Linked DNA regions of Lytechinus pictus. The protein of the gene in region 2 purifies or fractionates together with the protein of the main gene of each other region. This does not show direct contact. Links are inferred from orthologs where the notes say so. Each region holds a gene or a part of one and is shown on either strand. Other genes may lie near its edges.

Region 1 (7,597 bases), on a different chromosome or scaffold from region 2:
GCAAAAACGCACCCTTTTCCATAGATGCTGTAGATCTAGTTAAGCGGCGTTTTTCGCCGTCATCCGTCTTAACATCAGATGTTCGCTAATATAATCTCAATATTACTAAAAAGTTAGGCCAAGGGTCTAACTCTGAATTATGCTTATGCCTGCGAGAAGTTATGAAATGCATACCGTACATGATTCAAAATCTATTGACTGATTGTTTTCTGGGACAATCTCAATACTAAAATTTTTATTTTAATTTTAGTTCCAAACTTGTTACAAGATCGATCGCTATCTCATATAGTGCTGCCACCATACGGATATCCGAACGGTTTCCGCCCGCGTGGACGGATAACGGTTTTCATTTTTCAGGTTCGGGTATCCGTGGACACTGATTCACCACTTTCCTGTCACAAAAACTCATTAAATTTAGTAAGACTCACCAACAAAATTTATAAGTTTTAGTCGCCAATATAATCACCAATATCAATTAATCTTCTTCGGTAATATATTCCCGCCGAAAACCATCATTTTTATATCAGTTTTGAAACATGACCTTATATCAGTTTTGGAGCATGACCGTCCGTGAATGGAGTAAAGTTCCGTTCTGACAACGATGGCTATTTTACTATGGTGTCGCTTAAGATCGTTTTTCTTTCCCCGTCTTATGTTTTGATGATTTCAAATGCGTAACTCATCGTATATTTTCTTACCTCGACTTTCAATGCGAGTGAAGAATGCAGATAATTTGAAACCATTTAAGCGTCAAATAAATGTTGATCGTGTAAATCGGGTGTGTCATGTTGTTTCTTGTAATTTATTCATCAAATGCAAAATGAATTCTACTTTTTCTCATAGCAACTTTGGTTACCAATGAAGATGATTATTTTTGAAACTATGAAAAGTTGAAAACGTCGAATGAATGTTGATTGCGTGTGTCATGTTGTTTCTTGTAATTTATTCATCAAGTGCAAAATGAATTCTGCTTTTTCTCACACCAACTTTGGTTACAAATGAAGATGATTATTTTTGAAACTATGAAAAGTTGAAAACGTGGAATAAATGTTGATTGCGTGTGTCATGTTGTTTTTGTGATTTGATAATGGCGGACTTTGTGATGAATGATAATGAGAGTGAAACTGAAATGAATGACGATGATGAGTGATGGCTAGTGAAAATGATTTTAAATGATTATCAAGATTGGTGAAGATGATAGCGATGAATGATGAGAATTATGAAAGAATGATAATTGTCAATTGAAAATCTTTCATGAATTAATATTTAATATATAAATTACAAAACACACATTTTCCTTTATTTCAGTTTAAATGGCATATCCACTATAAATTTTGATATCCATCATCACGTAAACAACAATACTTATAAGGCGGTATCGTGCCAGAAAGGTTTATGATGTGTGCCCGCCGAGTATGTGGTCGGTTGTGAATTGACGTGTTTTGCAGTAAAACTTACTGGTGATGAATGTAAGTGATTAGTTACTGTTACTGTAATTAAATCTTGTCTTGAATCTTTGTTAGAAGTGTGATTATGTTTCAGAAGTTGAGAAATGATAAGCTTGGCTATAATTTGGGGAATGGGGAGAAACCCGACATGAAAATGAAAATATTCCAAGTACGATCCCATTTGAAGGTGTAGCGAGTGTAATGTGACCAAATATATATCGGACGATTCAGTCCAGACACGTCCAGACAGGACAGCACGTGCGTGAGCTGAATGATGTAGGCCTGTCTGGTTTTAGACTTTTAGTAATAGTAGACTCGCACTTACACTCGCCTCGGTCAAATTCATTGCATCTTATTTCATTCGATCGGAACTAAAAAATAAACACACATACTCTCGCAACCATTAAATGGGATCGTAACTAGGCCCGACTTGTATAACTCAAATAATAGTCATTTACTAATAGCTTAGGGCCTACACAGTCATACGATCTACATTTGTAGCCGTAGCCTCACGCTAACTCACATTAGTCAAATCCGATTGCAAAACAGATTCAACCCAAAATATTCAGCTTCTCGTAATTTCGTGGTTTTCAGAAATATCTTAATTAGCGCACGCTGACTCTCGCCATCATCGAATAGGTTCAAAACTCAAATATAACTGAAAATCTTAAATATAACTCAAATAAGTGCAAATGGATATTATTTTTTATATTTCAGTTTCAGTCCTTTCAGTTTGCATAGCTGTTACGTTACATCTTTTTTTAAAATTGCTTTAGCTGCATACATAAGTTGTTGAAATGTTATTTTTGCATGATTTCGGATTATCTCTGGTGGGCGTTTCATGAAGCTGTTCGTAAGAGTAAGACAAGAGCGGCTTTAAGAATGACTAGTGATCCTTTCTTATGGTATATTCATTGGCGATAGTTTTTAGTGCGTACAAAAGGATCACCAGTCGTTCATAAATTAAGTTACAGACGCTCTTAGTCTTAGACTTAAGTCTTAACATGCTTAACTTACATACAAACGGCCCCCTGTTCTCATGTCATGGTTCTGTCAACTTCTGAATCTGATACAATTACAATTTGTCTGCTATTCTATGTTCACAGTGTAATTTGATTTGTGTATAATCACAGCTGCAAGTTTGTTTTATATTTTCTTGATTATGTATGAATTTTATGTGAATGAATGACAAAGATTACTTCAAAACAAAAATCTCGCTCTCACTCAGTAAAGTCTCAGCTCCAATCTCGATCCACACACAATTAAGGCACGCGGTATACAATGCTGTGCGCGCGTGCATGCACTGCACTGCGAGTTCAGGCATTTCAAATCAGGTTGCAACATTATCGAACACACTAAATACATGTAAATTACATGTACCGTCATCACCATCCAACCACCATCCATGTCAGTAATAATAAGTACAACTTTGATTCGCAAATATGTATGCGAAATCAACGATATTATAAACAGTGCACACAAAAATCGACAAATTGTGAATTGAATTACCCTTGTCCTCGCGACTGGTGAATGGGCTCTCTGCATAAAAAAAAGGTAACGTTAAACAACGACGCCGCGATTTTGATCGATATATAGCCGATGTGATCCGAAGGACGATCCGAAGCTAAGCTCGGAAAACTTCGGGTTTGTGTTTACATGAAGTCGAAGTCTAAGTCGAGAATAGTCTATTAATACAAACATTTTTCAAATTTAGAAATGAAACAATCTGTTCCGATACACATTAAGTTATCCCTATATAATAAATTTGTTTTAATGATATTTTTTTTAATTGTATTTTCAACACTACAATTGAATCCTCATTAGCTGCACATATGTGAAAAAAATCATAAGCAGGATTGTACAAAAAAGCCCCTCCCCCTTATTCTTTATAGTTTTATCATGGACCTACTGTCTCCCCCCCCCCTCTCTCTCTTCCTGCACCTCTCTTTTTCTCTCACTTTTGCTACTTTTGAAGACTAAACATTTATGTATGATCCACCACAACAAAAAGCTGATTTGAATAAAAAGAGAAAAGCCAACAAGCATAGCCAAACATTAAGCAAACGTCATCAAAATCAGATGTAAAATAAGAAAGTTTTGACATAAAAAAAAAGTTTCACTTAATTTAAAAAAACAGTTGTATGCACATCCTGGTTGGTATATGCAAATGAGGAGACTGATGACGTCATCCACTCACTATTTCTTTTGTTTTTTATTATATGATATCTGAAATGTTCTTATTTTCTCCTCATTGACAAATCAGTGAAACAATCAATTGTCAAATCTGTAAAAGAGAAAAAATGTTGTATAATTCAAATAACAAAAGAAATGGTGAGGGACATCATCGTCTGTCTCATTTGCATGTCACTGAGTTTTGCATACTATTGCTGTTTTGTGAAAAATAAGGGAAACTTTAAAATGTCATAACTTTTTTATTTTACATCCGATTTTGATGAAATTTTCAGCGTTATGCAAGTTTGATTTTTCTCTATTTCCTAAAGCAACATTTTCTGGAGTGGATTTGACCTTTAAAAAAATAAAGGGAGAAAAGCAAAAGAACAAAAAACCCTGAAAATTACTTTGTTTTCAGACTTTTTTCTATTAAAATATTGTTTAAGTCATATGATTAAAAGTTGATTATTTCCATGTATATAACATTTTTTAATACAGTTCATCTTTCAATCTATTCAGAAAGGCACAAATTCTGAATATTCATATGACAGGCATTTAAAGAGCTCTTCATTGGGATTACTTTTCACTACAACTCTCAATGAGAAGTTGACATAATTGTTATCCCATTCTGTTACCTACAGCATCAACTTTCAGGTAAAAGTAACCAAAGAAAGTATATCAATCTAGTATGCTCTAAATCTATCAGTGTGGAAAAATAGGCATTAATTTCCTAGAAATATAATAAAGACCACAATTCCCTTATTCTAAAATCCAAAAGAGCCTAGTCAGGAGACTTTCTTTGCCTATTCTTTCCATCATTTTGTGACAACCTTTTTATATCAAACAGTAGGCATAGGCCTAATGATAACATACCATTTTTAAAATAACATTTACTCTCATATAAAGCCTTAGTTCCAATATATTAGTGACAATTTTCCTTTTACCAACCCTTTACTTGCAATAAATTCAGTTTATTCATAACTCATTGTATCTGTTTTGTTAAGCCATTAAGAACTATGGCAGAATATGTCAGCTTACAGCACAAGTTGTTTACCAATAGTATATCTTTAAAAAAAATGTGACTCTTGAAACTGTTTGTTACAAATGCAGCCACTTTTTCAGTTGCAGAAATATGAGGTATTGAAGCTCAATAGACGCATGATATTCTTACTACTAGAAAGGTGATAAAAGTAAGGTTGTTGGTCTCGAACCTAATCGATACAAACTGTAAGATCAGGGCCCCTTCATACAAAGAGTTACGATTGATCCAATCAATCGTAACTCTATGGAAATTCTTCAGTGTCATAATTTTTTCTACATAAAATTTTCAAAATGTCCTTTTGTAAACAAAGGCGAACATACCAAATTGTCAATAAAACAATTAATTTATGTAAATTTACGTCATATGTAGAAAACATTTTGAACGTTCATGCATTTTAGATGTTGACGTTGCTGGCCGTCCATAGTTGTGATTGATCGGATCAATCGCAACTCTTTGTAAGACGGGCCCCAGGTTGTCCGCATTCTAAAAGTAGTGAAAAATATGGATAATCCATCAATTTCATATAGGAAATGTACATGTACATCTGTCCTTTTAAAAACAACGAAGAGCACAAGGATTTTTCACATAACGATGCATGCATGAGTATTTAAAAACACTTTGAACTGACATGTGCATTCTAGATTCATGCCATTCAATTGGCTTTCCATCCTTGTGATTGATAAAACAATCATAAATCTATGTAAGAACACGCCATCTGCAACAATTTATAAACTTTATTATGTTATCATCAGTGACCCATTCAGAACAAGATTACTAATTTTTTAATTCTTGAAATTGGTATATTTCTATTTTTGCTACATTTTTTTATTAAAAAGAATATAAAAGTGCCTCTGAGGGTTTAAATTTTATCAATCTGCATAAAAGCAGTAATTTTGAAGTTTCCATCGCCTAATCATGACACATTTTGTGTTTTATTTTCCTTTAAAACACTGATTAAAAGATGCTGATGCAATAAATGAGGCCTTTTTTATTAGTACACTTTGATAAAATCAATTTTCTAAATGTTGGAAATTCAAGAAAAAAAAAATCAACCTTTTTGTATAATCCAGTTTTCCTCTTTAACTGCACTTAAAACCATTATAATTCAAACTAGAAAACATGTAATAATTTCAAGAATGTCCCATATGTAGGGGGTCAAACATGCAACAACAGAGGTAAAACCAAATGGCAACACCGGAATAATCAAAATAAGATCAAGCAAACATCCACTTTATGACACCTCACCGTCAGGCTGATGAATCTTAAATTATTCATAATAAAAAAATGAATTAATTTCAGTCAATGGAGAAAAATTGAATTTCTCTCACTCTCATATAACAAAGTATATTAGAGTTGTACAAAGGACATATCACCAATTATCTAAAATATTCTTCACTCGCAACATATATGATTGACCTGGAAAAGAAATTGCGTACTATACATGCATATTTCTCACTACAATTGATTGAAAATATTTATAGATTGTGCCAATATAAGAAAATAATTCATAAATGCCTGGATATTAAAAGTTAACAGCCTACTTTGATAAACATATACAAATATGGTTCAGCACAATATATCATTAAAACAGCTGTTTTAATGTTAAGAAAGTAAAAATTACACCTAGAATTTCATACTACCAAAATGTACAAAAGAAGCATTAAATAATACAGGTGTATATTTTTTTAAAATGATGAATGTCTCTGGGTATTACACTTAATAAAATAAATAAACTTGATAAATCAAAAATAAAAGTGTAGGCTGTGATGTTTATGGGGGAAATAAAATGAAATCAAAATGATTTAGGATCAAAGAATAGTCAGTCACAAGATATTTAGAAATAATTTTGAAGTAAAAATATAGGGGAAAATCTAATAAAGATGTTGCATGATGAGAACAAAAAAAAGCAAATATATGTATGAAGGATAAGTAAAAGAATATTTAAAATGAATTTTATTTTACTATCATAAGTAAATGCAAAAGTAGAAGGAACAGAAAGAAAGCACAGGGTCAGAATTTGGCAATACGAAATCAAATGATACAAGAATACATTGACTTGCTGGAAAGGATTACTATGCCACAACAATATCCTATCATATATCTTACACAAGTATCATATAAAGCAAATCACTGCAGATTGCTCAATACAGATAGCAATTAAGCAACAATAACATCAAGTGACAATATCAAATTCAATATTGCAATAAAATTAAATGCTACAGATGTAAATTTTAACTAATATTGCTCAGTTAGCAAAACTAAATTTTGTTTAATAGCACCTACGATAAATAGACAAGTATTTGTATTAAGCAAGATAATTCTCTATGCACTTTATTGCAATAAATATAATGTATTAATTTTGCTTATATACAGCTATTGTTACAACTTAAGGAAATAATGTATGTAAAATACTAGTAATAATATCATCAATATATATTCAATATCTTTCCACTCAATGGCATTTTGATACAGCGTTTAAGAACACTTCGATTACTTGCACATTCATTACCCCTTTATTCACAATTCCTTCATAGTGAAGACAATCAAATAATGTTAGTTATTATAGACATGTATTACATGGACTAAAATTAAATGCTCAAAAATTAATAAATAAATAAAAACATCAACATTGAGGCTCACTGTGAGACCAGCATCATACATCCAAAGACTCATCATCTTTCAATTAAAAAGCATTGACTGGTCCTAAAGAAAGCATATCAAACAGAAATCAAATCTAAACCCACAATCAAAAATTGGGCACCAACACAATGGATTCTTTTCTAAATTTCAAGAGAGTGTTTTGATTTTCTGCATCCTAGCCAAAGTAAATTGTTCAACGGACCATTTTCAAAAGAAACAAGGAATGACAATCCCCCCCCCCCCATTTATTTAGTTCTTATTTATGGAGGTTCCCATATTAATCTCTGCTTCCAAA
Region 2 (7,160 bases):
TATGTTCAGTTTTTTGAAAATTGGATCAGTATGGGCTAAGTAAGGAGAACCTGTGCAAATTCTTATGGCTCTTTTCTGCAGTAGCAATAAGGAATTAACATTTCTTTTGGTTCCACAACCCCACGCAATATTAGCATAAGATAAATAAGATAATATAAAAGAATTGTACAATAGTATAATAGACTTTGGCATTAACGTATCTTTAAGTTTAAACATTATACCAATAAATCTAGAAATATGAGTTCTTAGATGCTGAAAATGCAAATTCCAATTTAAATGTTGATCGAGAACAACGCCAAGAAATTTAACATTAGTTTTCCTTTCAATTAGGGTATTGTCTATTAAGATTTGGCACTGGTCTTCCATAATCTTTTTTATTGGGTTGTGAAATATAATATAATTGGTTTTACTGAGGTTTAGAGATAACTTATTACATTGTAGCCAGTTGGTTAGTTTACGTAATTCTACATTGATAGTGACGATCATTTTATTAAAATCATGATGGGAATATAACAGTGTCGTATCATCTGCAAATAACACATAGCTAAGCATTTTGGAAGAATTTACAATGTCGTTCATATATATTATAAAAAGAAGCGGCCCAAGAATGGATCCTTGTGGGACGCCACACTGGAGTTCTAAAATTTGTGATACATTTAAGTCGACCTCAGTGTATTGAATTCTGTTCTTTAAATAATCTTTGAACCATGCAAGAGGCGTACCCCTTATACCATATAACGTTCAAGTTTATGTATTAATATTGAATGATCAAGCGTGTCGAACGCTTTTGAAAGGTCCAAAAATAATCCAGTTATATATTGTTTTTTTGCAAGGGATTTGGTTATTCTATCATATAAGTCCAAAACTGCTAATTCAGTTGAATGTTGTCTCCTAAAACCATATTGGGCGGTGCAAAGTAATTTGTTTTTGTCTAAAAAAATATATACCTGGATATGGATTATTCTTTCTAAGATTTTAGATAAAGAGGGTAAGATAGATATAGGTCGGTAATTTTCACATTGGATACGATTTCCCTTTTTGAATATTGGTACGACCCGTGCTAATTTGAAAGAATTCGGATAGCATCCAAGAGACAATGATAAGTTGAAAATATGACATAGTGGTTCAGCTATAAAAAAGATTATTTGTTTTAAGATAAGTGAGTTAATATCGTCATGACCACAAGTTTTGGTATTTTTAAGGGATTTTACTATGGATATAACTTCGTGTGGTCTTACGGGTTTGAAAAATATCGAGTTTTCAGCTCGATCAGGTAAAAAATCTTTAAAAGAGTGCTCATTAGTTATAAAAGTTTTTGATAACGTTGGCCCTATGTTTACAAAATATTTGTTTAAGATGTTTACAATTTTCTGTGGGTCACGTGTCTTTTCTTTTTCAGAGTACATTTCTTTTGTGAATTCTGTTCTTTTGCCCCTACCTAAGATATTGTTTAAGATGGACCAGGTAGCAGACATATTTCCCGATACTCTTTTAAGTTTATTTGTATAATACATTTTGCGTGATGCTCTAATAACGGCTGTTAGTTTGTTACGATAAGCCTTAAATATGTTATGTTGGACGGTATTGCTAGGATTGCGTATATACAACTTATATAATCGGTTCTTTTTTCGGATAGAATTCATTATCGCATTAGTAATCCAGGGATTATGAATATTATTTTTTCTTTTCTTTTTGAGCAAACAAGGTATATTTTTATCATAATATTCCTTAAATTTTTGAAGAAAAAGTTCATATGCTATGTTCACGTCATGTGTTTCTTGAAATACATCTGACCAAGTTTCTATTATAAGGTCGATTTTAAGGGAGTTTATATTTTCGATTGAATATTGTCTATTAAAATATTCATTAGATTCACATCGTTTCCCTTGTGTTTTTCTTGATATTGTAAAAATAGGAAGGTGATCTGATATATCAGAATATAAAATACCACTTTGGAAATCTTCTCTTACAACATTTGTGAAAATGTTATCTAAAAGCGTTGCGGATGCCGGGGATACTCTGGTAGGCTTATCTATTAATGGATAGAGGGCGTAACTATTCAGAAACGACATGAATGTATTATAAGTCTGGTCGTTTTTTGTAAGTAAGTTTACATTAAAGTCGCCCATTAGATAAATATGTTTACCACCTTTCGAAAAATTACTGATACATGATTCTAATTGAAGAGTGAATGATTCAATATTCGTACCGGGTGGACGATACGCTACACCTACAATTACATTTTTACATTTGACATTGGTAATTTCTACAAAAAGCATCTCAAAGTCTGGTGATTCGGACAGAGGGGTCGTTAATTGAAAGGAAATATCTTCTTTTACATATAATACTACGCCTCCTCCACGTCCGTGTAATCTGTCCGACCGTAACATCTGATAACCTTCTAAATTGAATAAAGAAGGAGAATTAGGGTTTAACCATGATTCACTTACTCCAATGATGGATAGCGAATTGTTCAGGGATTTAAGTAGATTAGATACACTGTCAAAGTTGCGACTTAAACTCCGGGCATTTAAATGTAGTAAGCTGAAATAAGACTTGTTGTTATTATGACAGGAATTAAACTCATCGGGTAAATAATAGTGGCATTCATTAGATTTGAGTTCTTCTTCAGAAAAAGACATGTTTAAAGACTCAACCATCTAAGGATTTACATTGTTCGTTTATGCAGTACACTACTATCGTTAAGACACTGGCATTGATATCTAAAGACATGTTCTTAAAGTGGAAATGGCAATTGTTACAATATGACTTTGAGAGACTAAATACGCAGGAAAAACATATACAAAAGCCCATTAAAGATCTAATATAGAATATGTACACACTATAAGCAAAGATCTAAACAATATAATGGTGTATAATAATGAAATAGAATATAAAAGTATAAAACAATTACTATATATTATTTAGCGCATAAACAATTCGGATAATCTGGAGGAAAATTCGTCAATTTTAGGTTTGCCTTCAGCAAATATATAGACACATGATAATATAATAATGTAAGTATGCATATATCAATGGTATGTTGATAGGCATTGGATACAGACAGTAATTTAACCCATAAATTTATCGGGTTGAAGTTGTATTGAGACATACAAAGAGTTATTCAAATGCAGAATATAAAATTACAATCTTTATGATTATGTATACTAGTATATATATATATTAATGTTGAGTTACAATACAATGTGGTTTGATTTAAACAACAGTTTCGTAAATATTATAGAAGGGTATTTAATATAACACAGTTTTTCAGGATCTACTAAAATTGCCCATATGGAATAGACAAACTGTAGCGTTAATAGAGTTTATAAGGCAAGAAGGTCACTTTCTCTGAAGATTTGTTTCTTCATTGAAGTGTTAGGATCTGTCGTTTTAACCGAGGCGATAATACGGCCATCACTTGTCCATGCCGCGTTTACATTTTTGTGTTGGCTTGTCTTCTTGAGGAGTTTGAGGGTTGTCAGTGTCAAATCTTCTTGAATAGAAATTCCACTCCCTTTCAATGTCTTTTTCGCTTTCATAAATTGCGTCTTCTGTTTGTAGGAACACAATTTAACGATGATGGGTTTAGCCTTGGTTGGATCTTTTTGACCTACTCGATGGGATCGATCGATGTGGTGTTTTTTCAACTTGAACCCAAGCTGATCCTTGGCAATGTCAATTGCTATTTGATCGGTATCTTCACCTATTTTCTCTTTCACACCAAAAATTCTAATGCTGTTTCTCCTTGTATACTGCTCGAGAATATTCAATTGGCGCTCCACGTCTTCTCTTTTCTCGATTTCATTCTGTAGCTGTTTCTCCAGAATATATGTTTCTTTCTCTTTACTCTCCAAAGAATTTTGAAGTTGAATGATGGCTGATTCATTTTCTTCTATGTGGCGACGCATGTTTTCACATTGAACATTCACTACTTTATCCATTGTTTCTTTACAGACACTACAGTCTCCAGTGTTTTCATGAATTCTTTTGTTTTGAGTAATTTAGTGAGAATTGTTTGAAGGTGATAATCATCATTAGGTGAATGTTCAGACATATCAATCGTAACAGTGTCATCAGCTATATCACATTCAGAATCATTTGGATTGGTATGTTTCACCTTTTTCTTGCTTTTAGGGGTGCGCTTCACTCTGGCGCCATCCCCCTTACCCGCCATGATCGGACACCGAAGCGAACGTAAGGCTTAGGCGGGAACAGTATACACACGGATATATGTGACGATCAAAAGTACATATGGGACTGAGAGAATATATATAGTTACGTTCAAATGCTGATCGTTCGGCAATGCAGATTTGCTGTTTCTCCCTCCAGATCAGTCCAATAACGAAAATTTTGTGGCAATTACATCACGAAAACATAGGTGTTTACAATCACAATTAAGTCAAGTCATAAAAAATAGAAAAGAAATCAGTATCTTCTTGCAAATCTTGGCAATAATCTCAGGACGCCAAGACCACGTCACATCACGTCTATCTATCCGCTGTCTATTTCTTTTTGCCAAAATAAGAAAAAATCAATCAAGTTTAGTTATTCAAATCCATAACAACAACAAGAATAACATGAAAAAAACATCCGATGTTCATATCCGAAGATACGCTTTAGAGAGAAATGAATGATTATTCTTTTTGAAACCATTAATTGATTTCAATTATTAAAAAATTGTTAAAATATGATCATATTACCACTGGTGGGATGGAACACCCTATTAACAAAAGTTGTTTTTCGTCGGGGTCCTTTTATGTCATGTGTTAAAAAATATCATATACATAAACATTTCATTCATTTTCATCTTGAACCTCCACCCATCTGTTAAGTCCTGGAAAAGAATGTTTTTATTTAATAACAATATACACAAATTGCGAGGGAAACAAAAGGATTGATGGCATACTATAATCATCACTATAATCATCGATCATGATCAAACTTTTCATTTTTTCATCATCATTATTATAAATTTTCTACCCTAAATTATTGGGGGGGGGGGGATGATAATACAGGCCATCCCCCCCACTTGAAATATTGGGGGGGATATATCCCCCCATCCCCCCCGTGATCGACACCCATGTCTGTTATGATGTTATCAGCAAATCATTACACTTCTTCTCTTTTTTCTTCTACTAAAAAAAATAAAATTATGAATACTAGTATGCGAAAACCGAAGGTCTGTACCCGAAGACTACACCCATGCTCCTGTAATGTAAACTACGTGATCAAAGATGGCAGCGCCATGTGGACAATCGCCGCACAGCGTCGAAATTCATTTTGCTCAGAGACTTGCTTCAAATGAAAAGAAAATACGTGACAGGGCAATCAAACGATTGAGACACTGGATAGCTGCAAGATCTCAAAAGGATGGCAGTAAGTATGGGGTACTGTTGGAGAATTTCAACGAATCAGCTTGCATTAATTTTTTTTGCACGGTCCCATTCGTTCGTTTTCGTGGGAGGTCTTGTTGCCCCAAATAAATAAGAGTATAAAGACGTGCCAGGACACTTAGATCTAGGCCTAAGCATAATCATGAGCTAGACCAGGGGCAGCGGAACTGGGGGTGGGAAAGGGGGGGGGGGGGCAAGTGCCCCCCAAAATATTCCCTGTAGACTGTAGTAGGAAAAAATTCCCTTTTTGTAGCAATGTAGGTATGTGCGAATACGGGCGCATCGCGAGCGCTGGTTTTGGCTGCACGGTTTTCGCGCGGGTTTCGCTGCAAGTGGCATCGCCTCTGTCTGGGAGGCTCATCAAAAATGGGGTTTCATGCGCATGCGCACATAGTTGATGCAATCTCGTGCCTTGATACAGACAGTTGAAAATGTGCTCTTTCTGTACATATAAGTTTCAATGTGGATACTCGCCTGTGATTTGAAGTGTGGATATCGGAGCTTGAAAGTTCATCAAATTTTTGGATGCGCAAATGATCGAAATTTTTTAATGGTAAGTAGAACTACGATCCAATTATGTATCTGAATTGTTATAGAATATATTCAAATCAACAAAAAAATTAAAATTAAATTAAAAGATTCTATCGTTGAGCTGTCCAGATATAAGAGAAGCGAGCTACCCTTGTCACAGCCGGTCTCTTGGCAGTCGAGCTACCCGATGCGGTGGGCTCCCTTGAACCTTGAAGGAATAATCCCTTAAGCAGCTCTTCCAAGCTAAACTGGGATGGGATGTGCTGTGAGTGTGACAGAAGGTGATGGTGCAGACAATTTTGTTGGAATTCTATTTACAATAAAATTGGTGAAGTGCAAGTAAAAATCATGCTCCTAGTGCTTACAGCATCCTGGAACCTACATGAGGCTTTAACCCTCTGATGACAGGAAGGGCAGCCCCCCGGAAGACAGCAACTGATGGGGCAGTAACTGCTTTAGCTGGTAGATGGTTCCAGATACGAATGGTACGGGGATAATATGAAAATTTGTATGCATCAATCGTTGCTTGTGGTACAGAGAGTTTTAGCATATGATCTCTTCTACTGATGTATGGAGCCTGGGTTATGAAGTGTGGAAGCTGGATATTCACAAACTGGTGGTATATCTGATAGAGCATGGTGCTTTGTGCAAGGATACGACGTGTGTGCAGCTGGTCCCATCCCAAATTTGAGACAAGTCCTGAGGCTGATGTAGATTTTCTATAGTCGCGGGTCACAAAGCGAGCAGCTGTTTTCTGTACCCTTTCCAGGCTTGCAGCCGTAGTAGAGGTGTGGGGATTCCAGGCTTCAGCACCATACTCAAGCTGCGGTCGAACCAAGGCCATATACGCATTTGATTTGGCCTTTTCAGAACAAGGTGAGAGAGTTCTTCTCAGCAACCCAAGGGTTTTGCTGGCCTTGTTCGCAATAAGTTGACAGTGCGTATTCCATCGGAGGTCTTTGGAGATGGTGACTCCGAGGTATTTGTATTGGTCGACCTTTGCTATTACCTCATTGGAAAGCCTGTAGTTGTGTTGTATGGGAGCTCGCTTCCTAGTAATGGTAAGGGAAGCACACTTCTTGACATTAAAAGCCATAAGCCACTTTGCTGACCAATCTGATAGGGTTTGAAGATCTTGCTGCAGGATGGAGACATCATGTGCTGTGTTGATATCTCGGTATATCACACTGTCGTCTGCAAAGAGGCGCATCTTGGACTGGATATTTGCAGTGA

Evidence for each region. Proteins that work in one complex are often made in the same cells at the same time.
Region 1: the proteins of ribosomal RNA processing protein 1 homolog A-like (region 2) and serine/arginine-rich splicing factor 1B-like purify together in Homo sapiens (co-immunoprecipitation; 3 studies listed by BioGRID and IntAct, with this or other methods). This does not show direct contact. The link is inferred for Lytechinus pictus from reciprocal best matches to the Homo sapiens genes RRP1B and SRSF1.

What each region holds. Positions count from the first base shown.
Region 1 is NC_087246.1:14,835,547-14,843,143, forward strand, and holds the start of serine/arginine-rich splicing factor 1B-like, read right to left. Parts: upstream 3,057-7,597; 5' UTR 2,958-3,056; intron 2,887-2,957; exon of another isoform or gene 2,466-2,886; intron 1-2,465. UniProt on the Homo sapiens protein: Plays a role in preventing exon skipping, ensuring the accuracy of splicing and regulating alternative splicing.
Region 2 is NC_087252.1:14,096,321-14,103,480, reverse strand, and holds the start of ribosomal RNA processing protein 1 homolog A-like, read left to right. Parts: upstream 1-4,050; 5' UTR 4,051-4,109; intron 4,110-5,166; 5' UTR 5,167-5,237; coding exon 5,238-5,379; intron 5,380-7,160. UniProt on the Homo sapiens protein: Positively regulates DNA damage-induced apoptosis by acting as a transcriptional coactivator of proapoptotic target genes of the transcriptional activator E2F1.